Oryzias latipes: one gene and its partners. The protein of the gene in region 7 interacts with the protein of the main gene of each other region in a pairwise test. Links are inferred from orthologs where the notes say so. Each region holds a gene or a part of one and is shown on either strand. Other genes may lie near its edges. The genes, in order: sumo2, sirt6, dihydropyrimidinase-related protein 1, beta-taxilin, ess2, mrpl44 and vim.

The links.
Region 1: the proteins of vim (region 7) and sumo2 interact in a two-hybrid assay, tested with the Homo sapiens proteins (2 studies listed by BioGRID and IntAct). The link is inferred for Oryzias latipes from reciprocal best matches to the Homo sapiens genes VIM and SUMO2.
Region 2: the proteins of vim (region 7) and sirt6 interact in a two-hybrid assay, tested with the Homo sapiens proteins (2 studies listed by BioGRID and IntAct). The link is inferred for Oryzias latipes from reciprocal best matches to the Homo sapiens genes VIM and SIRT6.
Region 3: the proteins of vim (region 7) and dihydropyrimidinase-related protein 1 interact in binary tests that used the Homo sapiens proteins (3 or more experiments, as listed by UniProt). The link is inferred for Oryzias latipes from reciprocal best matches to the Homo sapiens genes VIM and CRMP1.
Region 4: the proteins of vim (region 7) and beta-taxilin interact in binary tests that used the Homo sapiens proteins (3 or more experiments, as listed by UniProt). The two-hybrid records come from large-scale screens. The link is inferred for Oryzias latipes from reciprocal best matches to the Homo sapiens genes VIM and TXLNB.
Region 5: the proteins of vim (region 7) and ess2 interact in a two-hybrid assay, tested with the Homo sapiens proteins (2 studies listed by BioGRID and IntAct). The link is inferred for Oryzias latipes from reciprocal best matches to the Homo sapiens genes VIM and ESS2.
Region 6: the proteins of vim (region 7) and mrpl44 interact in a two-hybrid assay, tested with the Homo sapiens proteins (2 studies listed by BioGRID and IntAct). The link is inferred for Oryzias latipes from reciprocal best matches to the Homo sapiens genes VIM and MRPL44.

Annotation. Positions count from the first base shown.
Region 1 is NC_019866.2:13,022,579-13,026,669, forward strand, and holds the start of sumo2 (small ubiquitin-related modifier 2), read left to right. Parts: upstream 1-1,291; 5' UTR 1,292-1,309; coding exon 1,310-1,330; intron 1,331-3,794; coding exon 3,795-3,926; intron 3,927-4,091. Other genes in the region: nuclear pore complex protein Nup85, read right to left, coding at 374-406. UniProt on the Homo sapiens protein: Ubiquitin-like protein that can be covalently attached to proteins as a monomer or as a lysine-linked polymer.
Region 2 is NC_019875.2:22,352,921-22,356,420, forward strand, and holds part of sirt6 (NAD-dependent protein deacetylase sirtuin-6), read left to right. Parts: intron 1-273; coding exon 274-369; intron 370-451; coding exon 452-532; intron 533-1,654; coding exon 1,655-1,778; intron 1,779-3,500. UniProt on the Homo sapiens protein: NAD-dependent protein deacetylase, deacylase and mono-ADP-ribosyltransferase that plays an essential role in DNA damage repair, telomere maintenance, metabolic homeostasis, inflammation, tumorigenesis and aging.
Region 3 is NC_019859.2:12,435,185-12,438,684, forward strand, and holds part of dihydropyrimidinase-related protein 1, read right to left. Parts: intron 3,209-3,500; coding exon 3,147-3,208; intron 3,017-3,146; coding exon 2,936-3,016; intron 1,717-2,935; coding exon 1,648-1,716; intron 1,571-1,647; coding exon 1,450-1,570; intron 1,334-1,449; coding exon 1,177-1,333; intron 436-1,176; coding exon 294-435; intron 215-293; coding exon 44-214; intron 1-43.
Region 4 is NC_019880.2:1,119,718-1,123,668, forward strand, and holds the start of beta-taxilin, read left to right. Parts: upstream 1-1,151; 5' UTR 1,152-1,166; coding exon 1,167-1,364; intron 1,365-3,013; coding exon 3,014-3,061; intron 3,062-3,951. UniProt on the Homo sapiens protein: Promotes motor nerve regeneration. May be involved in intracellular vesicle traffic.
Region 5 is NC_019870.2:13,790,326-13,794,264, forward strand, and holds the start of ess2 (splicing factor ESS-2 homolog), read left to right. Parts: upstream 1-1,139; 5' UTR 1,140-1,423; coding exon 1,424-1,567; intron 1,568-1,694; coding exon 1,695-1,863; intron 1,864-1,981; coding exon 1,982-2,065; intron 2,066-2,296; coding exon 2,297-2,466; intron 2,467-2,699; coding exon 2,700-2,817; intron 2,818-2,902; coding exon 2,903-3,036; intron 3,037-3,176; coding exon 3,177-3,279; intron 3,280-3,641; coding exon 3,642-3,751; intron 3,752-3,857; coding exon 3,858-3,939. UniProt on the Homo sapiens protein: May be involved in pre-mRNA splicing.
Region 6 is NC_019871.2:22,983,078-22,987,269, reverse strand, and holds the start of mrpl44 (39S ribosomal protein L44, mitochondrial), read left to right. Parts: upstream 1-1,392; 5' UTR 1,393-1,483; coding exon 1,484-1,659; intron 1,660-3,057; coding exon 3,058-3,526; intron 3,527-3,599; coding exon 3,600-3,778; intron 3,779-3,930; coding exon 3,931-4,099; 3' UTR 4,100-4,192. Other genes in the region: dnaaf1 (dynein assembly factor 1, axonemal), read right to left, coding at 1-267, 341-1,274. UniProt on the Homo sapiens protein: Component of the 39S subunit of mitochondrial ribosome. May have a function in the assembly/stability of nascent mitochondrial polypeptides exiting the ribosome.
Region 7 is NC_019875.2:29,289,743-29,294,038, forward strand, and holds the start of vim (vimentin), read right to left. Parts: upstream 2,801-4,296; 5' UTR 2,715-2,800; coding exon 2,191-2,714; intron 1,993-2,190; coding exon 1,932-1,992; intron 1-1,931. UniProt on the Homo sapiens protein: Vimentins are class-III intermediate filaments found in various non-epithelial cells, especially mesenchymal cells. Vimentin is attached to the nucleus, endoplasmic reticulum, and mitochondria, either laterally or terminally.

The DNA of each region.
Region 1 (4,091 bases), on a different chromosome or scaffold from region 7:
CATTAAGACAGAGACTGGACTCAAAAATGTCCAGGAAAAGACTTACCTTTCTTTGTTTGACAAAGCACAAAATAACTTAACAAAACGTAGAAGACAAAAATAACGTTACATTTTGATTTTCTAACCATTGTTCCAAGTTTGTTTCTTTATATCCAAGAACATGTCAACTGTGACATTGTTTTAGCTACGAAACCTCCAACTCGTAATGTCGGTCCGTAACATTTCATCATAAACTTTTGTGTTTGTATCATTAACTACTAGTGTATTTTTTTATTCCGAATTTTAGGATTTACAAAATTCAAAATGCTTAGCTAACTTGTTAGCTGCTATTCGATAGCGCATAACAATAAACTACATAGTACGAAAGACTTACGGTTATCGTCGGTTCAACGTCTACCTCCTCCATCGGATGAAACTTTTTAGATCCTTTTAAATTTCAAACTATGAACTTTTTCACCTTAATCATGCCATTTAACACGTGCTATAATATAGCAACGCTTGCGCGCCTCTCTTTTTCTACGACTATCTCGCGCATGCGTCAAATGTAGGACTGTCCTACTTAATGCCTGTTTTGTTTTTTGTTTTTTTAAATTTGCAAGTACAGTACTTTCTTTTACTTTTAATCTACGTCAAGAAAACTGACATGACTGAAGCAAATAACACTATCTTTAGAATCGATATACATTTAAAAGTCGAAGTAATTTTATTCCGAAAACGTGTAACATATTCTCAGAATCAGGAAGATACAATCGTATCATATTGTTAATATACATTAAAACGTTATATAAGTTAGCTATCTTAGAAAATATATCGCCATATCGGTAAATGTTGTCGTTTAGTCGGTGCCTGTTTTTTATTGTAACAAAAAAAGAAAGAAAAACCAAGATGGCCACTGGGCTATAATGAGGGGTTAAAATAAGGAGAGTACTAATATATCACGCTGTACATCTAATACCGATCATATGGGCGCTTTATGAAACGTGCAGCACTGATACTAGTCTTCGGCGTGACGATGAACAGATTTCCTTCGTATATAATAGACCTAAACCAAAAACAAAAGGGAAAAATTCTGCCGTGCGCGTGCATGTGAAGCCGAGTATCTCTGTAACGCGCAGGCGGTAGTCTCCCGCCCATAACTAGACTGCGCTTTAGTCCACGTGACTTCATGCGGCCAATTAAATCCTTGTTCAGTGAACGCGCATTGACACATGCCCGCGCACGTTTCCCCGAATAATTTAAACGGGAACGAGTACGTGCGCGCACTCATATTCTTTGTGTGGTAGCATAGAGAAGCGCCAAAAGAGTGACGATGGCTGATGAAAAACCAAAGGTAAGTGACCCCATTGTCAATTACGATGCTATTACAAATTAACTGGATCGCCGATCTTAAAGGTGAATTTACATTCCCGCGTGTGCTGTTCGTATTTTTTTAAATAAAAAAGTTAAGTGATAAGATTCAACTGTACCTACTTTGATGGACCGGAAGGTATGTGAGCGCGCATGGACTGGCGCGCACGTCGCTTTTAGGCTGATTACATCCCGCCAACCAGCTGGTGTCGTTCTCTATAAATCTTGCGGTTTTCTTGCGTTGTGTTTGTGTGGTAATTAAGTTGTCTGTGTTTTGTAATGACGCACCAGAATGGAAAAAATAAACAAGAAAACGAACTGTTTGTATTTAGTCTCTAGACTAAACTGTTCTAGTCAGTCTGCAACACTTTGGCTTGACTCGTTGAAGAAAACGGGTTATAACAACTGGATACCAAAAATAAAATATTCAAATACTTGAAACTAATATTTAACAATGAATACGTGTTTTTTAGCATCTGTTTTTCATACGGCCTACAATTATGTTTCTATCCCTGGTAATTCTGGTATTTTATCTTTTTATTTTTCCACTCTGACAAACATAAAGAACTATAGAACAAACAATCTGCATGATAAACATTGCAACCCACTTGCCTCACAAAACGAACCTTTTTTGTAAATAAATAAATTAAATTAACTTTTTTCTGGTACAACAGAATGGTTAAATCCAGGTACATAGGTGTGACTTGTTGTGTGTCTTGGATCGTGTTTCCTTAAGTTAAAGGTCTTCTTAATTGGAGGACAGGTCTTCTTAATTTTTTTTCTTAGTCTCTAAATTTTGAATGTTGAACCCCAAGAAAAATGGTTCCTATCAATAGGTGTGTTAATGGTCAGAAAAGCTCTGAGCATTGAAACAAAGAAAGAAACCATCGAGCTGCACCTGACGTTCAAGGTGCGTCCTGCCGAACTGTATGACCACGGGGGAACAGCAACGAGGTCAGAAAACTATTCAGAGATGAAGATGAGAGGCAGACGGAGGCAGAGCTCATCTGCGAGAAAGTCAGGGTATGAAGAAATAAAGAAGTACAAATGCAGAAGGAGCTAAAACAGAAGAAGAAGAATCCAAGGCTGTTTGAGTGGCCTTGCACGGAGAGGTAGCTAGGACCGACAAAGCTGCTGCTGAGAGGTTTGCAGGAGAATTTCAGGTGTTAGTTTGGGAAGAAGGCCACAGCCCTCATCAGCTTTTCAACTGAAGCAAAAATGGCCTCTTCTGGAAGAAGTGACCCAACTTGCATCACCAAGGAGGAGAAAAGACCTCCTGGACACAAACCCATTAAGGAAAAACAGAAGGGGATGACTCTCCTCAGAAGATGAGAAGAGCAAAAGGTCAATTCCTTCCATCACCATCAAGAACACACTTAAGAAGTAGGACCAAGACGTCCATTCAGTGGCACCCCAACCAAACTGAAGTCTACAGACTAGTGAATTTGTTGAAGGTCATGGTCATTTCAGGAACATACTCAAAAATGGAGGAGAAACAGACTTTGGCTAAGTTCTTCCAGCCAGGGTGACTAAGAAACTTCAACCTGTTGAAGCTAAAGAACAGACCTATTCTCCACTCAATATTAGGCCACTCAAGGAGAGTCCGTCTCACCTGTCGGCGCTCTTTTGATGGAGCTGGAAATTTTATTTCCCTACATTATTCCTCTTTTTTGTGGCGATGTTGCACACATTGCCAGATTTCACATCGACTTTGGAAAATCATGTCATCCGTTCTACAAATTTAAAGAAAAATAGTATTAAAAAAAAGAATATTCAAGAAAGAAAAACCAGAAGAAACCAAACCAAATGGGGGCAAACATGCTTTATCTTCTTAATGCCTGCTGCACCACCTTTATGGTTTTATTTACACGTGTTTGTGGTTTTCATGGGAACCTGCCACCAACAAGTAAGTGGGCGATTATGATCCCACATGCGATGTAGTTTTGGTGCGACTGGCTGCTGTTGCCATAGTGGTCCTGCCCAGAGGACGGTCTGTACCATTTATCACAACCAGAGGCTCTGGCCTGCATTGTGTAACAGAGGAAAAAACAAACATGCCCAGGTTTGCCATCACACTGGCGTCCAGTCTGTTTGTTTTCAATAACCTAACCAGGAGATGGGGATGATTGGCGGCTTTTAAGCACTGTACCGAGCCTTGCACCGAAGGGTAACAGTCTTCATCTGAATGACACGGCACACAACTGTCTGGATTTGGCCTTTTCCCCCAGAAAATCAATTGTTCGCTGCAAACAGGCTTCGTTACGTGATGTTAATTTGTTTTGCGAGGCATGCAGGCATCCAAGGCAGATAGTTTTTTGTGTGTGGGGTATTTGTTATGCAAGGAACCACTGTTATTTGTGTCTAAAATGACCTGTCCTGTTTGTTGTTTCTTAAACCGTTACAATATTTATTTATTTATTTCTTTATTTATTTATTTCTTTTTGTAGGAAGGAGTGAAGACTGAAAATAACGAACACATAAATCTAAAGGTAGCAGGTCAGGATGGATCTGTCGTGCAGTTCAAGATCAAAAGACACACACCGCTCATCAAACTTATGAAGGCATATTGTGAGAGACAGGTAAGTATAATCCCCTATTAGACAACAAACACACAAAACGGTGGCGATTCAGGAAAACTATCATAATCACAACGCTTATACAAAAAGTAAAGGTTCGTTAAAAAGTAGTTAGATCATTTAAACTTTGTATTACCCAAGGAATATGTTTTTATATCCCTATATAAG
Region 2 (3,500 bases), about 6.9 Mb from region 7:
TGTAGGACTTTATTTTTGCAAAATGTAAACTTTTTTCTCATAATTTTACAACATTCTTCAAATAAAATGTTGTTGTTGTTAAATCTTGAATTATTTTCTCATACGTAAGTTTTCAACTTCATTAAAGTAAAATTTAGGCTATTTTCTCATATTTTACAGGTTTGTTCTCACATTTTTTTTCTGTTGTTTCCCCATGTACTTCTATATACCTGTATATGAAAGAAAATAGATGTGTGCAGTGACTGTTGCATTGTGGGATCTGTCGTTATCCAGACAATATGTCAGAGACAAGGTGATTGGCGTGATGGGACTCAAACCAACAGGCCGTTTCTGCAGTGTGGTGCGATCCAGAGGACTGAGGGGCTGCAGGTAACTCATGGTGGGCTCCTGCAGCTCAGACATTTACCAACGGCATGTCACAATAAAGCTTTTGTTGTTTGATTTATAAAAGAGGGAAGCTGATCAGCACAATATTGGATTGGGAGGACGCACTTCCTGACAGGGATCTGAACCGAGCGGATGATGCAAGCAGGTGAGACGATCGAAGGTGCATCGTTTGTTTCATCAGGATTCTTTATAACCACAAAACGCGCAGATTCTACTCTTTTCAGCGCTTATTTCCTCTGACATTCCTTCTTCATCATTTGCCAAACAGCAGCAGCTTTAGTAAACCTTTGCTTTGTTGTGAGAAATGTGAAATGAAGTGTTGGATTGATTTGTTTGAGCTGCATGGCTTTGGTGTCGCCGTTCTCTCATCCAGAGAAACGGTGAAGCGAAAGCCCCCTTTTTCGGGGGGGTTTATTCACGGATCACCATTTTGCATCCAATGTTTCCTCTCTCAGAAGATTCTCATTCTGTCCTTTATCCATAAAACCTCTTAGCGCATGTTTAAAAGCAGTAAGATGAATTGTGTGTCACTTTGATGTGCAGCCACATAATAGATGTTGAATTACTATTCAAATAGGAAAAAAAATACAGATTTGGAGCAGCGACCTTTGAACCCTGGGTTGTTTGTTGACGGCAGAAAGAAAATGGGAAAAAGCTGCGTGTCATTCAGCACAGAGGGGCTTTAATCTTGAAGGCAGTCTGCTATCATGCTGTGCATACCTCCGCTTTTTGAGAGGAGTTATGTTCCTTATTTTGTTATATATGTGCTCACAGAACCTCGAGGAAAAGATTTTGCTGCAAAATGGAAGTCTGTTGCACTGAAATATCTATTTTAGAGATGGGCATAGAGTTAGCAAAAAGCTGTGCATTTTCTGTATTTCATCGCCACTGTAAGTACGAATAAGTTCAAAAACTGAACTTCACCCGTTAATTACCTTGTAAAAATAAAGAGAAACCGGGATTCCAAGTTTTGAACTTAACATTTTGTCCCAAAAAAACAGTTTTTATACAGCTGAAAATGATTGAAACTTCATCTAACACTAATTTCTTTTAATCTTACGCCCATGTTGAAGTGACGCCATTAATTATAAATTGATTTGACATTTTCTCTGCAACCACCTCACCCAGGAACTGCAGGGTCTTTTTTTTCCCCCCAACTCTTTTATGTACACCTACATATATGCTTTCCCCCTTCAGCAGGAATGGGCAAATAAGAACGTTGGTGTCCTATTTAGGCGAGATGTTCTTTCCTTCTGTTGGCATGCAGGAAAGCAGACCTGGCACTGACTCTGGGCACGTCCATGCAGATCAAACCCAGCGGAGACCTCCCACTCCTCACAAAGCGCAAAGGAGGGAGGATAGCTATAGTCAACCTGCAGCCCACAAAGCATGTGAGTCACTCACACGTCTCAGTAATGACACACGCACACATCAACTGGTTCTTCTTGGAAACATTTACTGATGTCCTTAAAATTCTTAATACAAATCCAAAGACGCATTTTAATTAGTCTAACAGATTTTTATTTTTTTTTGCCAACTAGCAGAATGTTGTCTAAACGATCCTAACCCAAATCTTCAGACACGCTGAGACTGTAGTTCTACAAATGACCACTTGGGTGCATGATTTTTATTTCATTTTTATGTTTTTCTTAGATTTTTGTGGTTTGTATTGCAGGATTTTTAAGAGAGCCTGTTTTTTAAGCAAAAATTTCTATTTTGATGCAAAAGTTAGAAATCGCGATAAGGCCATCTCCTATTTTGCAAATGCAACCCTTCAATTTTCATTTTTGATGAAGACCCACACCGACGAGAATGGTGTTTTTAATGTGTGCTTGTGGCAGACTATGCCTTTCTTCAGATTGTTGTGAATCAGAAGCAAACGAAAAAATAGCAGTTTCACAAAGAGCTTATTTGTGACATAAAAACTACGGTGGGCGGGCCACAAGCTCCCTGCTCCGCTCTGCGGTGGTGAAGGAAAGGGAGGGTGGGGTTGCTCTGCGCCAAAAGTCCCGCCCACAACTCAGAACCAAATTTCTAATAAACCACTGCTGCTCTGCAGAAACTATGTCTTAGAAAATGACTGAGGTTTTTGGGATTTTGTGGAAAAAGAGTATAATCATAAAAAATGACCACTGAGAACGCTTTGAATATAGCACAAAAAAGTTTGGAATAGGCTTTAGTAGTATTGCTGTTTTTTTTTCTTTTTAACAGAATATTCTTTTATTTTTATTTTTAGGTTTATAGTTTTTTTTTCCCCACCGCTGAATACGCTTAAAGTGTTTGTGTTCCGTCGTGTCACCTGATCTTTTTGCAGTTGCAAATCTGACACATTTCCCACAGTTGGGAGGCGTTTCTGCAACTTCTGTTATCTTTGGCCAAATGTTTTTGAATGACAGCTTAGTGACCCGGACAAGTTCTGGCCCTATGTCCAGCACACACGCTCACCCTTTTTTCCTACAGTCATTTGCATTGGTGGCAGAAATCTGGGAAGAGGGGATGCTACATACCTGAAAGTATGGATTTCTACAAAAGGAATTATTGCGTGCTTTGTTTAAATTGGATAAACTCTGTCAAAATAAAATCTAACAGCCATATATGTATCAAAATGCCTATAAACTCCAAAGCACCATTCTACCTAGATCAGAGGTAGCGCCATCCTAACTTTTTTTTCCATGACTTTTTCAACAAAAGACAAAAGGAAAAAAAACACAAAAATCTTCTGAGTCTATCCAATTTAAAGAAAGCATGCAATCATAACTCGCTATCTAAGTTTTATGGAAATTTAGACTTCAAAAGCATCCGCACTCCACAGATTGCTACCACCAACAAAAATGACTTTATTTCTCTAAAATGTTCTTCTGCCAGGCTTTTCTTTTTCTTTCAAGCTTATTGTTTTTAAGTTTTATATGCATAGCAATAAGAAATAGCTTTATACTTTTAATGTAATTTTATTTAAGCAACATATTTTCATATAAGAAAACCTTTTTTCATTTGTTATTTGTGGGGGAAAAAAATCCCTTAGTCTGAAAATCTCAAGGCTAATAAAACCTGCAACTTGTATGAATACAATGATCTCAATAGCTGGTAATTTCCTATAAATTTTCCTATTGTCA
Region 3 (3,500 bases), on a different chromosome or scaffold from region 7:
TCCACATAATATCTTTTCACATCTGTATCCTTCGTGTTCTCACCGACTGTTGCTGTTTCGCAGTGATGGTTTTGACAATGTCTGGGTCCCAGATGACGATATCTGCATCAGAGTCCACAGCGATGCGTCCCTTACGAGGATACAAGTTGAAGATTTTAGCTGCGTTGGTTGATGTGACTGCCACAAACTGGTTCTCGTCCATTTTCCCCATGGCCTAAAGAAACAAAAGACACAACGTTAAAGATGGTTTGGCTGACAGTTTACGCAGAAACACACAGGCCCTCAGATCTCACCACAGCCTTGTCCCAGACGAAGCCCATCCTCTCCTCTACCCCGTTGGTTCCTTCTGGGATCAAGGTGAAGTCATCTTTACCGATGGCTTTCTGAGATGTGCTGTAAGCACAGTGAGAGCTGCCCACAACCTGCAGGTCCCCGCTGGGCCAAACAAACACAGCCAAAGACATTATAAACACATAAAAGCGTCAATAAGCCCAAAACAAAAATATATACTATTCATTCCCAAAAATCAAGATTAAGCAGACAGTTCAGAGAAAAAAAGAGATGCCCTCATGTAACCTAACTGAAAAACATGTTGCACTTTTGTATAATTTAATCAACCGCCATATAACTATGACAATCAGTAATATTGTTTTCTTCTAAATAATACTATTAGATGTTATACTGAACTAGGAGGACATCCAATCAAGCAACTAAGCATTACTGCTGCTAAAACATGATGGGCAGCATGAAAATCTGACAGGAAGCTCTCGACCATAGAAAAAACAAATTCTAAAAATACATTTTGTCCTTCAGGTAAGGATCAAGGACAACAGCAGGATCACACGACTGCTGCGACAGCATTGACACACCTATAGAGCAGAGTAGGAGGAGGAGGAGGAGAGAGGAACTTGGTCACCAAGGCAACTAAAGATGAAGGATTCTGGTTCCTAAGCTATTTTTAGCAACAGGAACAGTCAAAATCAACAGTTTTTTCTGGGCGTGTGCATGTGTCTGAGGTGGAGCAAAGCTGGGTTTTTGCTTCATCCACCTCCATAAAGCTTTGGTCTATAAAAAACTATATAAACAGATTTGTAAAAAAAAGGGATACAATATAATTAGAAAATGTTGGGATGTATGGCAAAAATAAAAATAAAATTGAAAAGACTTAACTCATACCTGGCCAACAGGGTGTGGAGATGTTCTGGTGTGGTGGGGTCAGGACTTAAAGGTGGAGAGGTCACATAGGCAGCTGCTTTGGCCCAGTTTTTGCTCCAATAATGAGAACCGTCCGTCGCCAAGCCAGCTGTAATTGGTTCTCCAAATACCACGGAACCTAGAGTGGAAAATAACAGAAGTATAACACTTGAAGTCGATGAACAAATAAAGTTATTTCTGAAAAATATAATCAAATGTTAGAAAAGGTTAAAAAAAAAACAGAGCTGTGCAAACCTTTTCTGCGGGCCTGAGCGATGGTGTCAGCGGCACTCTTGCTCATCACTTTTGTGATGTAGACAGGACAGTTCACACAGTTACCGAGGGTGATGGCACGAAACACAGCCTCAGCTTCCACCTGCATAGAAAAATAAAGGCAGATTGATGAACCTCTGTGCTACTCATGAACTGATACTTATAGGATATAAAAGATACCTCCTCAGGACGACTCAGAGGATGCCCTTCAGGACCAGTGATTCCCATCCCAAGGATTTTTCTTTGTTCCTATACGAAGATTTAAAGAATCATTGTCATATATTATACTCTGTCAGGATTAAAGCAAGGGGAAGTGAGCTGTTAGTCACAAATGTAATCTGAGTACTAAATTATATCTAAGTTAAGTAATGAAGACAAAGTTTAACAAATATTTTACTGCATTATTCGCAAAAGGCTGGTTTCCGTGTTTCTCCTTGAATAATCTCCAGTATTAGAAGTAACTAGTTACAGCAGCAAATTATTTTAGATATCTATTCAATTTTACTCATGTTCAGTAACTTGTAAATTCCAAAAACAGACAAACCGCCCAAAATAAAAATGCTAACTGAGATCATGATATTTTATCAAATTAAAACAAAAACCTTTAACAAGATCTTTTTGGGATATTGTTGATTACTTCAAAGAGTTTTGAAATTATGTTCATACTTAAAATAGTGAGCCAATTTTCCTAGAGATTACTAAAGATCATAGACACAAACTTTATTTGTCACTTTCCTCAATAACTATTAGGTCCTGTCTTTTCTCTGAACCAATATCTGTCGGTTCTGTTGTTGTAGACTTGGTGTAGTAATAGTAATCTGTGTTTAACAGGCACTATTATTGTTTCAGTCTTTCTGAGACACATACGTCTCAGGTTCTGTGTTCAGTACATACCGTATATTTTTATTTGATCGACTAAACTACCGGTAACTAAGCTAAAGCGAAGAGTTGGTCCTGTAATTTGTAGTCCAATGCTTAAAAAAATAATATCTAAAACCATTAAAGCATATCTACTACTTTTGCAGATATTACAAGAAGGTAACCAATAGTATTGCAAGAGTCATGTATCACATTACAATTCTTAGATATAATATTGTTAAGGTCAGGTTTTACTTTTGAATACCAATAGAAAGTAATCTTTAATGCATTAGCTTGGAAGTAACTTGCATAAAACTGACATATCTCTATATGTTAGATATGTCGGCAATCATTTCATTAGTACTCAATGTATTATCAATGATCCTAGCTGTTATTCTACACTACCATTGTCATATCCAGAAGTAATATCAGTTCTGTTGCATCTACAGGCATCCCTTAGCATCAGATTTATCTGTCATTAATCTGATTATAATCAGAGGTAATGATCTCCAAAATATAAGTCATTAAGGGCATAATGACCTGCTTAATGTGCATCTGTCTCTACTAGGTGTGAGTTTACGTAGATAGAAAGACAAAATGATGTATTCACCTCAAAAATCAGGTCTCCGTTTTCGGCATGTACTAACACAACAGCCCCCAGCTGCTTCAGAAAGGAGAATGCCTCATACAGCTGTGGATGTATAAAGAACAACAAACAGTTTAACAGAAAAAAATTAAAGGCTTCTAAAAACATCTTTTTGAGAGAGAAAAGGATTTAGTGAGTTTGCATCATTTGGGCTCTTAGGGATGATGGTGCATACCTGAGAATCTGTCATCTGGTACACATCTTTATAGGCCATGTACACTTGAAAGGAGTTGATACCTGAAAGGAGTAAAAAAAAAACTGCATTGGCTTCATTGGAGCAACAAGAGTAAATCATAATAAAATCATAATTCTGGGATAAAAAGAAGAAAAGAAAATCTAGGAAAGAGATCTATACTAATTTAGGAAGCAAAGCATCATAATAAAAATCATATCTTCATATCCTAAAACAACTCTTCCAAATTAGAAGCCCTTTAAGACACAGAATACTTTTACAATTCCCACAAACAATTATTTACTTTTACAAAGGATTATAGATGAAGCATGTCCCTTGTGTCACAAGAACGGGCAG
Region 4 (3,951 bases), on a different chromosome or scaffold from region 7:
GACGACCTGAAGACAGACAACGCAGACGACCTGAAGACAGACAACGCAGACGACCTGAAGACAGACAACGCAGACGACCAGAAGACAGACAACGCAGACGACCTGAAGACAGACAACGCAGACGACCTGAAGACAGACAACGCAGACGACCTGAAGACAGACAACGCAGACGACCTGAAGACAGACAACGCAGACGACCTGAAGACAGACAACGCAGACGACCTGAAGACAGACAACGCAGACGACCTGAAGACAGACAACGCAGACGACCTGAAGACAGACAACGCAGACGACCTGAAGACAGACAACGCAGACGACCTGAAGACAGACAACGCAGACGACCTGAAGACAGACAACGCAGACGACCAGAAGACAGACAACGCAGACGACCTGAAGACAGACAACGCAGACGACCTGAAGACAGACAACGCAGACGACCTGAAGACAGACAACGCAGACGACCTGAAGACAGACAACGCAGACGACCTGAAGACAGACAACGCAGACGACCTGAAGACAGACAACGCAGACGACCTGAAGACAGACAACGCAGACGACCAGAAGACAGACAACGCAGACGACCTGAAGACAGACAACGCAGACGACCTGAAGACAAACAACGCAGACGACCTGAAGACAGACAACGCAGACGACCTGAAGACAGACAATGTAAAAACTTATGGAGGAACCTGGACTGCTCCAGCTCAGCAGCTCCACACGCTGACGGTGGTCTCCAAACCACAGAGCATTGATGCAGAAACTCAAACCAAACGTTGAGGACATGGAAAGGATCCGTTTTCAGAGGACTGACCTTTAGCTGAACACATCCTGATCTGAAATGTTTCCATCTATGCGTGATGATTCTAAATCATATATATATATTCAGCGATATGACATGATTTTATTTGGAAATCACCTCCATTTAATTGAAGGTTAAAAAAAGAAGGCGTGAAAAGTGGGGCGAAGTCCTTCCAGGGACGACTTCACGTGTGAATTTATCTCTGCCGTCATCACAGCAGCAGGAAGAATAAATGAACGCTTCTAAGAATAGCGCTCACCTTGTGAAACTGCATTCTGGGTTTATTTGTCAGCATCAGCTCCTGCGTTTATACGGCGAGGAGCAGCAACGCTGTGGCAGCGGCGGCGCAGAGCAGACCAGGCTTTGCATGAACCAGTTTAGAGGAAAACCTTCTGAGCCGTGGGGGAGCTCTGACCCTGCAGCAGAGCGTCCTGCCTCTCCCTGTCAGACTGAGCCCCCTCCCTGGTTTATTTTGAGGAGGTCTTATCACAGCTGTTGGGTCTGTGGTGGCAGGTCGTCCGAGCCCCTCGACACGCTGCCTATTCCCCTCCGGCCTTTGGTCCTGGTAAGACCGTGTCTTCTCACTGTCCTGCTTCTCAGCAGGCCTTTGCACTGAAATAACCATGAAAAATAACCACGAAAAAGCCTCTGCTGGAAATAATCCGCTCATTAACATACTAACAAGTGTTGCACGCAACCTAGCAGCTGTTTGAGAGGCTGTTAACCGCAGTGAGAAATCCATCCCTGCTCCGTCGAGTCTTTGTCAAGTCTCTGTTTGAACGCGTTCCTCAGTCAAAATGCTGAATTTACAGCAGATCCTTCACAGAACTGAGCTGCTGCTGCTGGACCTCTCTGTTATTTGAGCTAGATAGAGACCAGAGAGCTGTTGGTGTCACAACCGCCGATTCTGGCTTCACTACGAGGAGATTAGAGAGTAAATAAATAAATAATGCTCCCATATTAAGAAGTTCCTAAAATAGCTAGTGGCTGTGGAACAGGTGCCATGTGCTGCGCTTGTGAAAGCACAGGCAGCGCCAAGGCTGCACTAATTTTATGCTCACAAACAGGATCTGTACAAGACTGACACAAGCTGACAAAATCACAGCCGGCGACGGCAGAACGCACGGCTGTGCTGTGAAAACTCCCATCAAGGCGCTCTTTCTGGGGTTTTTAACACGTTCAGTAGCATTCATGTCATAGTGGAGGACGTTTATAAAAAATTAAATGAAAAAAGATCTTAAAGCCGCATTTCTTTATCCAAATCAATGCAGATCAGGAGCAGCTGAAAAAAAGCTGTTATCGTGTCTGTGATGTAGAAAATACGCCCGGTGGGCCACGACCTCCTAGCTCCTCCCCTTTCTGATCATCCACCTGCAGACCAACAGATCTATGAACGTCTCTGTTTTCCTGGTCTGAGCTGGAATCTGGATCAGAACCGGACGGATGGATGGATCTGATGCTGCTCTGACGTTAGGTTGGGGGTTGTGAGGGGCTGTAAGCTAGAGGGAGTGTTTGTAAACAGATGGATGATGGGAGAAGGGGGTAGGATTACTCTGTGCCAATTGTACCACCAACAGCTTCGAGGGGATTTTTGGATTTTGGCTAAAAACTGCATCATCCTCGTTAAAAGACCACTTTTAGAAACAGACCTAAACATGGAGACCTACCCCAAAGATGGACGAACTGAGCGGGACACAAGGATACCCACCTGCCAATCAACCCCCCCACACACACTTTATGAAACTTTAAACTAAAGCAAAAGTTAAACAGCTAATAAATACACCACCATCCTCTGCAACGAACATAAAAAACTGTAGACATAATAGATAAGCTACCAGCTGAGCAGAAGTTAGTTTTCTTACCTTTTTATGGTCAAAACCTCTGAAAGCTGCCTCCATTGCTGTTAAGAGGATCTCGTCCTGGTTGGTAATAAATACGGAAACAGAATGAGGAAGCTTTCTAGTGAAACGAGAAAGACGCCGTTACATCACCATAACATCAGCAGCTTTCACCCTAAACCAGTTTCTGAATAAAACCCAGTTATCTTTTGACTGTGGTCTCAGTCTGTCTGCTGTTCTCACCAAACGCATCATGAAGCGCACAAACGCAGCTGATCGGTCTTCTCCAGTGCCTGATCCTTAGATTGATCGTCCACTTCAAGATTCTGTTTGGAAACCTCTGAATAATCCTTGATCTCTGTTTGTTTTTGTCCAGAGAAACATCTTCAGTCTTTTTCTCCACTTCTCCTTCAAGTCCACCAAGGTAGGCTGGAAACTACCGGGAACGGTTCTGGAGAAGCTTCTCCCTCTCTGTTGGAGCTCCGCCATCCGCTGCACTGAAAACAATGAACAAAACAGACTTCCCTGCTGCTCTTCAAGAGTTCTTACATTCATTGTAGTATTATTGTGTGCGCTGCTCCTTAGTGTACGGTGTCAAAATAACCCCCTGTAGGATGACAGACGTTTAAGGCTGTAGAACTCCTCACTTCACGTTATCCCCGTGTCTCAGACAGGCAGGAACATCTTCACACTTTTCTCTTTTTTGTCTAAACCCCTAAAAGTTCCAACCTTGATAAAAAACAACATCCAAGATTTATAAAATGAGAATGCGGGTAAAGATTTATGTAGATCCGGTAGAACAAATGCATTTGTCGAAGAGATTGATGGACAACAGCCAATCAGGACGCAGAACATAGGTGGGCCCTCCATGTTTGCCCCCATTAGCTTAAGTGGACACCCGGTTTTCACGCTCCTTACTTCTTTTTCTAAACGCAAATATGACGTCACCGATTTCACTAAGTAAAAACCTAATCAATGCAAATATTTGGCAAAGACATTTTACGAATCAATGATGATGAAAACTTGGATGGTTTATAAAAGCGTTTTTAAATCCTTTTTTTGTACAAAAATTGTTCAAACGCAATGCATTATGGTCTATGGTTGGCAATCATCGATGCACACTGGTTTTTTGCAGACTTTGGGGAAATTTCAGATACTAGATTTTTGTAGATTCTGACCACGTAGTGAAATTCTGACCCACGTTTTTGTTTCTGCCGCCTCACGGCTGCTTAAAATGAGAATCACCGTTTGTTTACCCGTTAAAAACAGAAGACCGGTGTTCGCTGTGCTCCAGCTGTTGCTAAGGACAGTTCT
Region 5 (3,939 bases), on a different chromosome or scaffold from region 7:
TCTATTATTAAAACTACAGATTCTTTTTGATAAAAAACAAGGGGTGGGAAAAAATATGTTTAGTCAATATTGCAATGTCTAAGTGAAATGGGATTGAATTCAGATGAATTATTTGGTGAATATGCCTATGAAAGAAACTGAAAGGGTTCATACCGTAAGCAATCTCTTATGTTACAATCTCCATTTCCAATTATGTGACTTAAAATATTTATAAATGTCTGTGTGCCTCTTTTGTTTGGTTTATTCGATCCTAGCTATGGTTTATTTCCCGGGTTTCGATTTCTCCTCAGACCCAGTTTTATTGGTTTTCTTTTGATAATCATCCACAGCTGTCTTCAGGTCAATCATCTTCAGTGCATTTAATGTCTGATATTAAGCTTATTTTACTTTTCATGGGTCATTTGCTTTGTCAATTTTTTTTACACATTTTGTTTCATGCTTTTTCTGTTTTTGAATCGTTTTGCCAAAACTATGATTATTTAATAAAATTTTAATGTCTGCCACAAGCCTATTTTTTTTAGCACTTTGGGACCTACATGATCGGTTCCTGCTGACACATCCGTCTTTTTTAGACTCTCAGTCACTGGATACAATTTTATAAATTTCAAATTCAAAACTAAATCCACATTTTTAAAAAGGTACTTTGGGGAAAAATCAAACACTTGGTTTTAAACCTGTTTCTTTCCTAAGCTGCAGTTAAACAGAAATTGCTGCTGTCCACGTATCCAGCTTGTTTATTGAAAAAATGTAGTGTAAGGATGTTTAGAATTTCACGGGAAGTGTTGTCATTAGAGAAAAAGGGAATCATGTGAGTATACAGGCTTACCTAGAAAAAAGCTTAAACTGCTTTAAATAACCTCTTGTTTCTATTATCTTTCTTTTTTCTGTCTGTTAACTCCTTTTGGAAATATTGCTTTTCATGTGTGTATTATAATTGCATATGTTTCAGTTTACATGTTGCTATGAAACAATAAAAATAAAAAAATATTGTGGCAGGTATAAATGATTTAATCAGAAAAGAAATAGACTGACACTGAAAGCCAAAAAGGTAAAGAGTTCACCTGAGGGTGAAGGAAAACGTGACAGGAGGAAACGTTTAGTGGGCACTGCACTAAAAGGAATTACCACTAGATGGCAGTGCCAGTCAAACTGGAATGAAGGTCACATTTCTCTCCCAAACTGAAGAAGAGAAGAGCTTCCGGTTAGATTAGTGATCAGACATTACGTAAGTCCGTTCTGATTACGGGTGTTTTGATTAACATCGAGGGTTGATTTATCCAAATTATTTATTCACAACGCTTGTAAGAAATTTAAATCGCCGTTATCGAGTTAAATAATCACTTCCTGTTTTATATTTAGTGTTTGTTTGAAGTGGGAAGCTAGCCTTTACTTTCCAGGCTAGCAGGCTAATTCTTTGGCTATAATGGAGGGTAGCGCAAGCGTGAGGAGAGCGTTGTCCGGGACGCTCGTTCCCTTAGCGATCTCTACAGTAGCTCTTCGTGAGCCCGAGCCAAAGGATAAAGGAAAGCTGAAGAGAAAAGTCCTCGATGAAGAGGAGTACATTGAGGTAACGAAGCCAGCGTCTCGATATGTTTACGACTGCGTGAAGATTTCATGTGAGCTAGCTTGATCGATATTTTGGTTTGTAACTGACTGTACTTGTCTTGTGTTTTTCTCTGGTCTACTTTTGATAGAGCTTAGAGAAAATCATCCAAAGAGACTTTTTCCCAGATGTGACAAAATTGCAAGCTCAAAGGGATTATTTAGAAGCAGAAGAGAATGGAGACCTTGAGAAAATGAGAGAGATATCCATCCGATTTGGATCTAATTTGACCAAATCAACCCCACAATCCTCTGCACCTTGTGAGTAATAAACCAGTCTTTCTGTTTCTGTTTGTGTAGACGGAAAGAAAAACAAAACTTCTTTATTCGATTTGTTGTAATTATTATTCTGTTGTCTTACCTTTCCTTTGTGAGCCAGATGTGACCCCAGCCAGCTTTGAAACCCCAGTGGGCTGTCCAAAATCTCCATCCTCCAATCACTGCAGCAAAGTTTCTGAAGGGGGTTAGTTTTAAATGTTTGTAATCAACTATTTACATTTGTAACGATTTAGTCTCATGTTCACAATTTCATATAAATTGGCTTAAAAACCTCAGTTCCTGTTTAAAAGTCATCTGTCTATATGTTACATTCTTTATCCATGTGCTCAGAAATTGCTAAGCATGAAATGGAAAATGTTAGGCCTACAGTTGGCGAGCACTAAATCATCCCTGTCTTTCATGTATGATTTTATAGAGCATAAGGAGGATGATGGGGAAGACAAAAAGCTTCCCAATCTGGACCGTTTTCTTGCCAAAACTACCAGTGAGGATAATGCCTCCTTTGAGCAGATAATGGAACTGGCAGAAGATAAGGAGAAGCTGAAGCATGCCTGGTTGTATGAAGCAGAGGCAGAGTTCAAACAGGTTGGTGTGAAGCAGTTATGATAGTGAGGCTCACATGACAAGCTTTGAAGCTACAACTACATTAGAGATTTTGTGGTAATACACTCATGGCCTCTCTTATGTAAGCCAATTATGAAATCTGTGAGTTAACGTTTACCAGTTTAATTGTGTCTGCCATATAACTGCATCCAAAAATTGCAGCGATAATGCTTTGAAAATGTCTTGCCTCAAAAGCTTTCTTTCTTTCTTTTCAGCGCCACGAGAATAATCTGGCTTTACCACCGGCGGAGAAAGCTGCGCTAGAATGTGTAAAAGCTGGTCTAGAGACGTGGGAGTACAAGGCAAAGAATGCCCTTATGTATTATCCAGAGGGTAAAGTATTCATTTAAATTATTTCCTATACTGAAGGTTTACAGTAAGCCCAGTCTATTTGAGATTTTTTATTTTATTTTATCAGGTGTTAAAGATGACGACAGTGTCTTCAAAAAACCAAGAGAAGTGGTCCATAAGAACACTCGGTTTTCCGGAGACCCCTTTAGCAACGCTCTCAACAAAAGCCAGATACAACAGGCAGCAGCTCTCAACGCACAGGTACACTGTTTTATTTTAAAACACAATTTAAAGTATCTCATGTGTACAGCTATGAAGTGTTTTTTTCTTACCTGGCAGTGCTACTAACAAGTCATCTTTTCCTGAATCGTGTTGCTAACATGATGTTGTGTTTTTTTCAGTTTAAACAGGGAAAAGTTGGTCCGGATGGAAAAGAGCTAATCCCACAGGAATCCCCCACAGTGAACGGATACAGCTATGAGAGAACACCTTTGGTCGCACCTGGTGAGTAAACCACCGTGGTTGTGCCTGAAGACTAAAACTTTATATGGAGTTGTTGGGATCCTATCTTAATATGTCTGTCCAGCTCAAGATTAACCCATAGTTTCACAGCAGAGCGGGTTTGTCATGCCTTTGTTTTCCCTGTAAACACAGAGCTGTATACACTGTCTTTTTTTTTTTTTTTTTTTGCATCTGCTACCATAGTAATTGTTTTTCTGAGGAGAAAACACGCTGCTGTTTCTTTTTTTTCCCTAACTTTGCTGAAGCTGAAGTTTCCTTTGAGGCAGCAAAATTATCTATAGGCGGGTTTCATGTGCTCTTTCTCCTTAAGAAGCTTTCGACTAAAAGTATTTGTTGTTTTTTAGGTGTTTCTGAGTCCCCTCTTATGACCTGGGGTGAGATTGAGAGCACCCCATTTCGCTTGGACGGCTCAGACACTCCATACATTGAGAGAAACCATGGCCCATCCTTTAAGGTGCCAAACTTAAAAAAAATAAATGAAATAATTGTTGTTTTCTAGCTCCTTTGCATTTTTAAAAATGTGAACATTGCCATTGTTTGTTTGTTGTTGTTTTTTGAAGATTCCGGAGCCAGGAAGGAGGGAAAGGTTGGGTCTGAAGATGGCGAATGAAGCTGCGGCTAAAAACCGTGCAAAGAAGCAAG
Region 6 (4,192 bases), on a different chromosome or scaffold from region 7:
CCTCCTCCTCTTCCTCTTCCTCTTCCTCCTCCTCATCATCTTCCTCATCATCATCTTCTAGATCTGGCAGGTCATCGACACACAGTGATGGAATATCTTCAAGGTGAATGGTTTCCAGCTGCTCCTCGTCATCCAGATTTGTGACCAGTGGTCCGGCAACATGAACTGGAGGAACCCCCAAGGCCTCCTCTTGTGCAGAAGAAGCTGACGTGCCACTGCTGTGTTCCTCACATGTGCTTTCTGGGGTTATGGCCTTCAGGCTTTCACCTAAAAGCAAAGAACTGTACTGTAAAAAAACAGATTTTTCTGAGTACAGTGTTATGGGATAAAACCAGACTACCTTGTTCCTGCAGCTCTTGAAGGGAACGTCTCTCCTGGGCCTGCTGTCTCATCATTGCCATTTCTTCCAAGTTCTTCTGGATCTTCTTCCTCTCTTTGGTTTCCCACTGCTCCATCACCCTCCGCTCCGCCTCCGGCCCTCCTGCTGCCCACGCCTCCGCACAGGCCCGATCTCTGGGAAACACTGGGCGGACATCAAGGAAGGTGAGCTGCTTCAAGCGAGCTATCAAGCTCCTTCGGTAGTTTGGGATCTTCCTCACCACCTCGTTTCCCATCAGATAGAGAACCCGCAGTTCTGGCATCGCCTCGAGTACACAGACAATCTCCGGATCATGCAAGCTGTTGTAGGACAAGTCCAGTACAGAAATAGCCAGGCATTGACGCAAATGGGCTACATCCTCCAAAGTTTCCAACTTGTTGTGGGCGACCTGCAGGGTGCTTAATCTGGGAAGGTAGGCGAGGTTCTCTAAAACAGAAATGTAGTTGTTGGACACGTTCAGGGTGCACAGCTTGGTCAGTGGTTGGAGGTTTTCCAGTTTCAATATTTGATTATCATTGAGGAACAAGCAGCGCAGATCAGTTTGGGCATCCAGGTTCTCGATGCGCTCCAGGGCATTGTTATGGAGCCAGAGAGACTTCAGGCCTGTGTATTCCTCTAGGTTCTCAATTCTGGAGAAACCCTTGAAATGCAGATACAATGTGTCGTTCAGGTGGGGTGTCATGTAGAGTTTGTTCTGCTTACAAAGATCCCTGAGGAACGCCGCTGTCATCCGTGGCCACAAGGAGTTTTCCTTCCCTCCAAGAGACAATCTTTGGAAAGTTTTCATTTCTTCCTGAGAGTCATCCTTCACAGAGGTGTTTAACTTGTCAGAATTTGAGGTTTTGGGGGGATTTTTGCTGTGGCCTTCATCGGTCAAAACCTCTTTGTCCTCCATTTCTTTCCACAGAGGAGACGAGTGTGGATGCGAATTGGAAATCCGAGATTTTTAACGAAATATGACGACCGTCTGAGTTGCAGTTTGAGCAAATGGGGCGGTTTGTGTTCGTTTCCATGGCTACGCGGGCGGAAAGCCGGTTGGTTGTTTCATGCCGGACGCTTTTAGCAGCTGCACCTGCACGCGCTGCTGTCAGGGGTGAAGGAAAGATGGCGGCGGGGTTTCTGTTAAACCGCGGCGTGTTAACTTTAGGGATTCACAGCCAGCGGCTGTGCAGAAGCGTCCCGCTTTTGCAGGTCAGAGAGAAGAAAAGGTGGATGAAGGCGTACACGTTTTTGATGGCGAAGAAGCTGAAGCTCGAAGGGCCTCCGCCTCCGAAGCCCCGGTAAGGGTCTGCAACACAAGTTAAGAGGCCGCGAACGGCCTTCTCATTTCTAGCAAAATAAAGCAGCTTTACCTAGATAAAACAACAATGTTTTAAGTTGCAATTAATTATTTTTCTCCTTGACCAAAGGACAACTAAACTAAAGAGTGCTTGCTTGTCCTTTTTTTCTTTCAATGTGACATTTTTGGACCTTGAGTTTGTGTGTGTGTGTGGGGGGGGGTGGGGGGGGGACAACTATATATACTTGAAAAAGTACCATAAGTAAAACATATAGAGAGACAGACAGACAGAGAGAGCAATGACAATGAAAACGTCCATTCAGTCCTTAAGCAACATGTGACTAAGGAGCCTCACCTGTTCCCCGAGGAGTCCCTCAGGGCTCTGTTTTGGTACATCTACAAAAGTACAATAAGTCAATGGATCATCATGTCTCTGAATTTATCCAGAGGAGTTCTGTTTGCATCTGAAGAAGGAAAAAAAAGAGTAGTGTGGTTGTAACACAATATTTCTTTGAAGTTAATTTTATTAGGTATACTTAAGTACAAGTATAGCAAATATACTATATAGACACCAAAACCGCAATTCTTTTAAGCCTCAGTGACAACAATACAGTTGTGATGTTTCAGGTCTGCTCATTCAATCCCTGTTTTGGCTCTTAGGGTAAAGGACAGGACTCTGGAGCCACACTAACTATAATATACAGTATAGACATGTGTATTTAATCACTGCCGACGTTACATTACCTACTACTACATTTGATGCATTGAGATTCATGTCTTTTATTTTGAAAGGACTACGTGTAAACCTGTCATGCTATAATTATTTTTTCCATATTTTGAAATCAGGTTCTGTTTTTTATTACTTCATTCTCTCCTGCTGAAATTGACTTGCTGGGATTGATGTTATTTAACTTCTGCAATTTGAGTCAACCTTGTTTTCCTGTGTTTCTTTATTTCTTAAATGTCTCAGTTTCACTTTAATGTTCTTACTCATAAAGTTGGGTTGAATAGTTTCTGCTCGTCTTCACCTCTGCGGCAAATGATTCATTTAAATATTATTACATTTTCTTTTAGAAAAGCAATTGGATTTTGTTATAAGAAAAACTCTTAACTGGTTAACTGTTTCTTTGGCCTTTAACATCTAAGAAATCCTTTAAAAAGTGACTTTTGCTTTTGAAAGTTGTTTTTTTTTTTTTTTACCCAAGCTTATTACTATATATACCTAAGAATATTGTCAAGAAAAGTGAGTCAAGTAGTAATGAATGACAAGTTTTTAGAGCCTTTCTTAAAGATAAAAAGAGAGTAGGTGATTGTGATTGTTGTGGCAGTAGGGATCCAGCATTCACCCCTGAGCTGCCGTTTTGCGTCTCTCAGGTTGCCTGTGTTTCATGTCTTGCAGGTGGCAGCAGCCTAACTGGGATTACCACGCCGAGGTCCAGGCTTTCAGCGTCCGCCTGCAGGAGAACTTCTCCCTGGAGCTTCTGAAGACGGCCTTCATCAACCCGTGTTATCTGCGCGCCGAGCGGGAGAGGAGAGAGCAGCTGGGAGTGGACTCTGAGAGCACGGCTCTGTCTCTGAAGGACAACGTTCAGCTGAGGAACAGCGGAGAGCGTTTCGCCAAAAGCTTCCTGAGCGACTGGTGCAGGGCTAACTTCCCGAGACTCCCGGTTGTGGGGGTGGAGAGCATAGTGGGGAACCTCACCAGCGCAGCCACCGTGTCTCATGTAGCACGAAACCTGGGCGTTGAGGACCTGAGCATGAGTGCAGACTTCCCCGTTCCCGACGAGGTTCTCCGCTCCACATTCATGGCCTTGATCGGAGCTCTGAAGGAAAGCAGTGGAGCAGAGCGAACGGGGTTTTTTCTCAGGGTGAGCGCTCAATCTGTGTTGATGTAGAACTGGTACGTTATTCCTTTCTCCCATCTTCCTGTTTCTTCCCCAGGATTTCCTGTCGACTCAGCTGATCGGAAAAGACCTGTTTGATTTGTGGACTGTGGTGGACCCCATGGGGCTGCTGGTGGAGGAGCTGACAGAGAGGAAGTGTCCTCTGCCTGAGCCTCGTCTCATCAGGGCTGCTGGAGCCAGCACTGTCCTGCCACTCTACTTTGTCGGCTTATACAGGTACGGCATAATACCTTACCAAACCACAAAGACATAATTATCAAACTAGTGCAGTTATGGTTGGATTCAGGATTGTTAAAACTACTTGCTTAGGATATTTTCTCTCACTTTTGCGTGGATGTTGAACTTCTCTGGTCTCCTGTCTTCCTCAGTGACCAGAAGCTCCTTGCTCAGGGTCCAGGAGAGACTCTAGTCGGCGCAGAGGAAGAAGCCGCTCGAGTGGCTCTCCGCAAACTTTACGGCTTCACAGAGAATCGCAGGCCCTTCGATTTCTCCCCACAACAGCTTCAGCAGCCGTTACTGCAGTCAGTCAGTAACTGAAACAGCAACTAAGCCTCAGCACCGAACTTTATAAAGGAGACGAGCCGGCGGGACGATAGCCTACAGGCTGAAGAGTTACTGTAGATTGGAAAT
Region 7 (4,296 bases):
CCTCGCGGGCTGAAGGCCGTGTCACACAGCCACTATACGTGGTCATACGTGATAGTTGCGCCGTGTGCACAATAAAAATATTATGCATCTGGAGATTGTGCGTGAAAAGTCTGTCAGACAAACGTGGAACGGTTGTAGAAGGTCACAAATTTGCAAATGCATCTTGCAGAAATCACACACAATTGCGTGAGTCTTACGCGTATACTGTACTTTAAATATGCGTAAACTGCGTAATTTTATACCGACCAAAAATTTTGAGCAGCTCAAAACCTAAAATCATGTAAAGGCCCGTTGGCTGAAACCCTCGACGGACATCTGCGCACATCCACGAATGACGAACGCAAGAAACACTAATGAATGACGTAAATCACGCATGGATCAAAACAGACAGACATGTCATACGAGGGAAAATGTGCGATATGTAGGTAGTGGCTGTGTGACACGGCCTGCTTCCTCGCAACCAAAATTACCTTTGTACAAAGACACTAATTAAGCTAAAACTGCTAATATTTTGTTCAACATAATCAGCCGTTCAAAATCTGAAACTTACAACCGACATTTTTTTCCCAAGTAGGTTGCCAGTGTTGTTCGAAGAGCTTTGAGGTGATAGACTAAAACCACTATTAGCACTTTATTAAAGATCTTTTAATGGAAGAGTCCAGATGGCAGCCTAAAAAAAAACAGTGGCCAAATTTGACTCCTTGGGTTCTCCAGGGTTACTACGGCTGAAAATAGGTGTCTCATTATTTGTCCACATTCTGACCAGATGTGCACCTAATTTATGACAGGAAACCAGCAGATTTGTGTGAATGAATAGAAAGGAACCTGAGGTGGCCTTTGTGTGCCTGCATAGCTTTATTTTAGGAGGGACAAGGGAGCAATTCACTGGGACTTTTCTAAAATACCTTTTGTTCAGAGCATCCCAAACCACCAAGCATTCCTGTAGAGCTTCCTAATCTCTTTTTTTTATTATTAGCTGACTCCACTCTCAAACTAAAACTCTCCACGGTTCATTAGACTAGAAAATTAATTCCATTATTAAAAGTTTCCCTTTTTTTTTCTTTTAATCAGTTTCTTTTTCTCTTAACTCACATGCACTTGCAGTGGCACCGTGCAGCTTTGCAGCTTTGTCGGGGCGCTGGCAGGCTTGTAATTGACGTATCAGCAAATGAAGCAGCAGCACCCCCCTCCCACACTAATGCCACAAACAAAGTGGGCTATTCAGCAGGGTTTTCCCAGCAAGCCCCAGGCTGGGAGAGTGACTGTCTGCCTGACTGAGCAGGAGCTGCGGCCGCCGCATTGTTGTCTCAGTGCCATCCATCCTGTCGCTCACACAAATTCCACATCAAGCCATTTATTTTCTTAAACAGTCGTCAGAAAATGTTCACTTATCTTGAAACATGAGGCCTTTTTTTTTTGCATTTACATGATTCACCATGACACCCTGTGACGGCGGGACAGTCCCACTGCCACACCAAAACAAGTGAGAGTCTGATGATCCGGGAACGGGACAGCTCTGGTCACATGTCTGATCCCTCTGAGATCCACACTGTAGTCCTGCCCTTTCTCTGTGACTAGTCAGACTCAAACAATCTGCTTTCACTGCAGGCCTGACTGAGCACAACACGCCAAAACTTGGCCTCTGCAGCCAGGGCCAGGTCAGCCTGTACTCTACCGTTCCACTGGCTCAGCAGTAATCTGCTGGGGAGCACATCCGTCCCACGGCATATAAAAACCTGCTGTTAAATAGATGGAAATTAAGGTAACAGATTTAACGTTTTAAAAGGTTTGGAAGTGGAAGAACACTGCAGAACTGGAGAAATTAAGATCAGCATCCCGGTTCTCACTAAGAGTTCTGCAGCAAAAACCTTTGAAAATAAGACATTTGTGTTTTGTTGGGGTGGAAAGGATTGAGTTGGATCCAGCAGTACCTGTCTAAAGCTTTGCATGGTTGCCTCAGCCTCCTCCCTCTGGGAAATTTCATCACGCAGCCTGCAAAAGTCAGAGAAAAGACACTTTTTCAAGACTTATTGGAATTGGGAACTTTCTCTTAAACTTTTTTCATGTGTTTCCGTTTCTATTTCTGCAAACTTTATTTCTATAATATCAGTGATGTGGGGATATTTTACACGACCAGCCACACAGGCCTACAGAAAAGCGGAACCACGAGGGCCACGCCCCCTCCCCTACTTCTCTCTCAGCCTCTCGATGTCGTCCGCCAGGTTGTCCCGGTGCACCTCCACGCGCGCCTTCTCGTTGGTGAGCTGGTCCACCTGGCGCCGCAGCTCCCGCATCTCGTCCTCGTAGAGATCTCCGATGCGGGAGGTGCCTTTGCCCCGCAGCTGCTCCAGCTCCGCCAGCAGGATCTTGTTCTGCTGCTCCAAGAAGCGCACCTTCTCGATGTAGCTGGCGAAGCGGTCGTTGAGGGACTGCATCTGGGCCTTCTCGTTGGTCCGGTTCGTGAGGAACTCGCTGTTGACGGCGTCGTGCAGGGAGAAGTCCAGGCTCTCGGAGGCCAGCCGGGGCATGGCGGCGCTGCTCCGGAGCCTCTGCGTCTTCACTGCGTAAACTGGGGCAGAGGAGAGACCAAAGGAGACCCGGCTGGACCGAACCGGGCTGGAGAACTGGCGGCTGGAGTAGCTGCTTCTGGCCGAAGCTTGTTCACCCCCAAACATCTTCTTGTAGGAAGAATGGGGGGCAGATCTGTAGGACATCTTCAGCTCCGGGGGTGATGCTGCGCGCGTTTGGTGCGTCCTGAGCTGCGTCCGCGGACTGCGCCTGGATGGGCGGTTCCTGCATCTTCACCCGCTTATAGTCTCCTCCTTATGCAAATGCGGCGGTGGGTTTTGAGTGACGCGTGGTGGGTCCAGTAAAGGATCTCCTCCTCTTCGGGCTCCATTTATAAACTCTGAATGGAGCTCGTTATCCAAGGAAGAGAAGAATTTGTGATCATCAGATTCTTTCACACTCAATTTTCTTTGATTCCTGAAGAAAAGCATAATCCACAAACCAAGTGACTATTTGGAATCAGATCTTCATCCATTTCATGCTTTAACTTAGTTAAATATTTGCTTTTTTTTAATTTGTTTTTTTCCTCCTTGGAGCCTTTGGTCATTTCAAATGTGTCATGAGACTCCCCCCTCCCACCCCACCCCAACCATACTAAAAGGGTTGATCAGTGCATGAGGTGGTCTTGTGCAAATGTGTCACACGTTTTGGAAATATTTTCCAATGCGAGGACAATAAATACTCCATGTTTGCAGTGTTTCACTGTCAGTGATCTGGAGAGAAACTGGGAGACCGACTGCTCCAGGATTTGAAAATGCAGCTTTCCAGACAGACTGCCGCTTCAACCAGTTTCAAACATGACAAAAATTAGTCATGATGCTCTAATCCTTTTTTTCCTTCCTCTTGTGCTCTCTTTTCTCACTAGATTTGCTGCTTTCTCGCTGCTGAATTGCACAGATTCTGCAGGAAAACATGCAGCAAAGCTGAGTCAGTGACACTTTAAACCTCCAAAGCGAGCCTCCTTTGGTGTTGCTGGGACCTTCGGGCGTTGGTTTATCATCAAACTTTAATTTATTGACAGGCAGGTAATGGTGTGAAAGCTGCAGTGTTACTGAGTTGTGTTCAGGGATACACTGAAAACATGAGTAACCTAAAAATTGGAAAAGAACACTAAAGATCACTAGAAAGCAGTAAATGTATCTGTTCATGCAGCAAGTCATTTTAGTTTATGAGAAATCTTTTCATAAAATATCAACGTAAAGAAACAAGGAGTTCCACATTAAAAAAGGGAGAAATAAGCTCAAAAAGTTAACAGAATTACTTCAAACTGAAGGTTAAACAACCCAATAAAAAGGTTTTTTTACAAAGTTCTAAGCAAATTGTTGTATTTATTGAGTTTTAATGAACCTAATTGTACTTTTTCTTTTTTATTACAGTGACAAAACTCTAGTGTAATTAGTGGAAATGACTCATTTTAGACGTTAGTCCATTTGAATAAATCCTCATCAAATCTCAAACTAGCATTTATTCTTTGAACATAAATCTAAATTTCTGTTTCCAAAATAACGAGTGTCAGTCGAACATAGATTGAACTTTTGAGATTTTTTGAGTCTTAAATCAAGTTTTTCTTTTGTCAAGAATACGCAGCAAAAGGATTTGGATTCATTTTGGAGAATCATGTCCTAGCTCCTAATGGGACGAAACATTCTGGACTGTGCTGATTTTGAGAAAAGCTTGTAGCCTTTTCTGGCTTCGATAGCCAGAGCTTAGCTGATTTAAACAGATCCA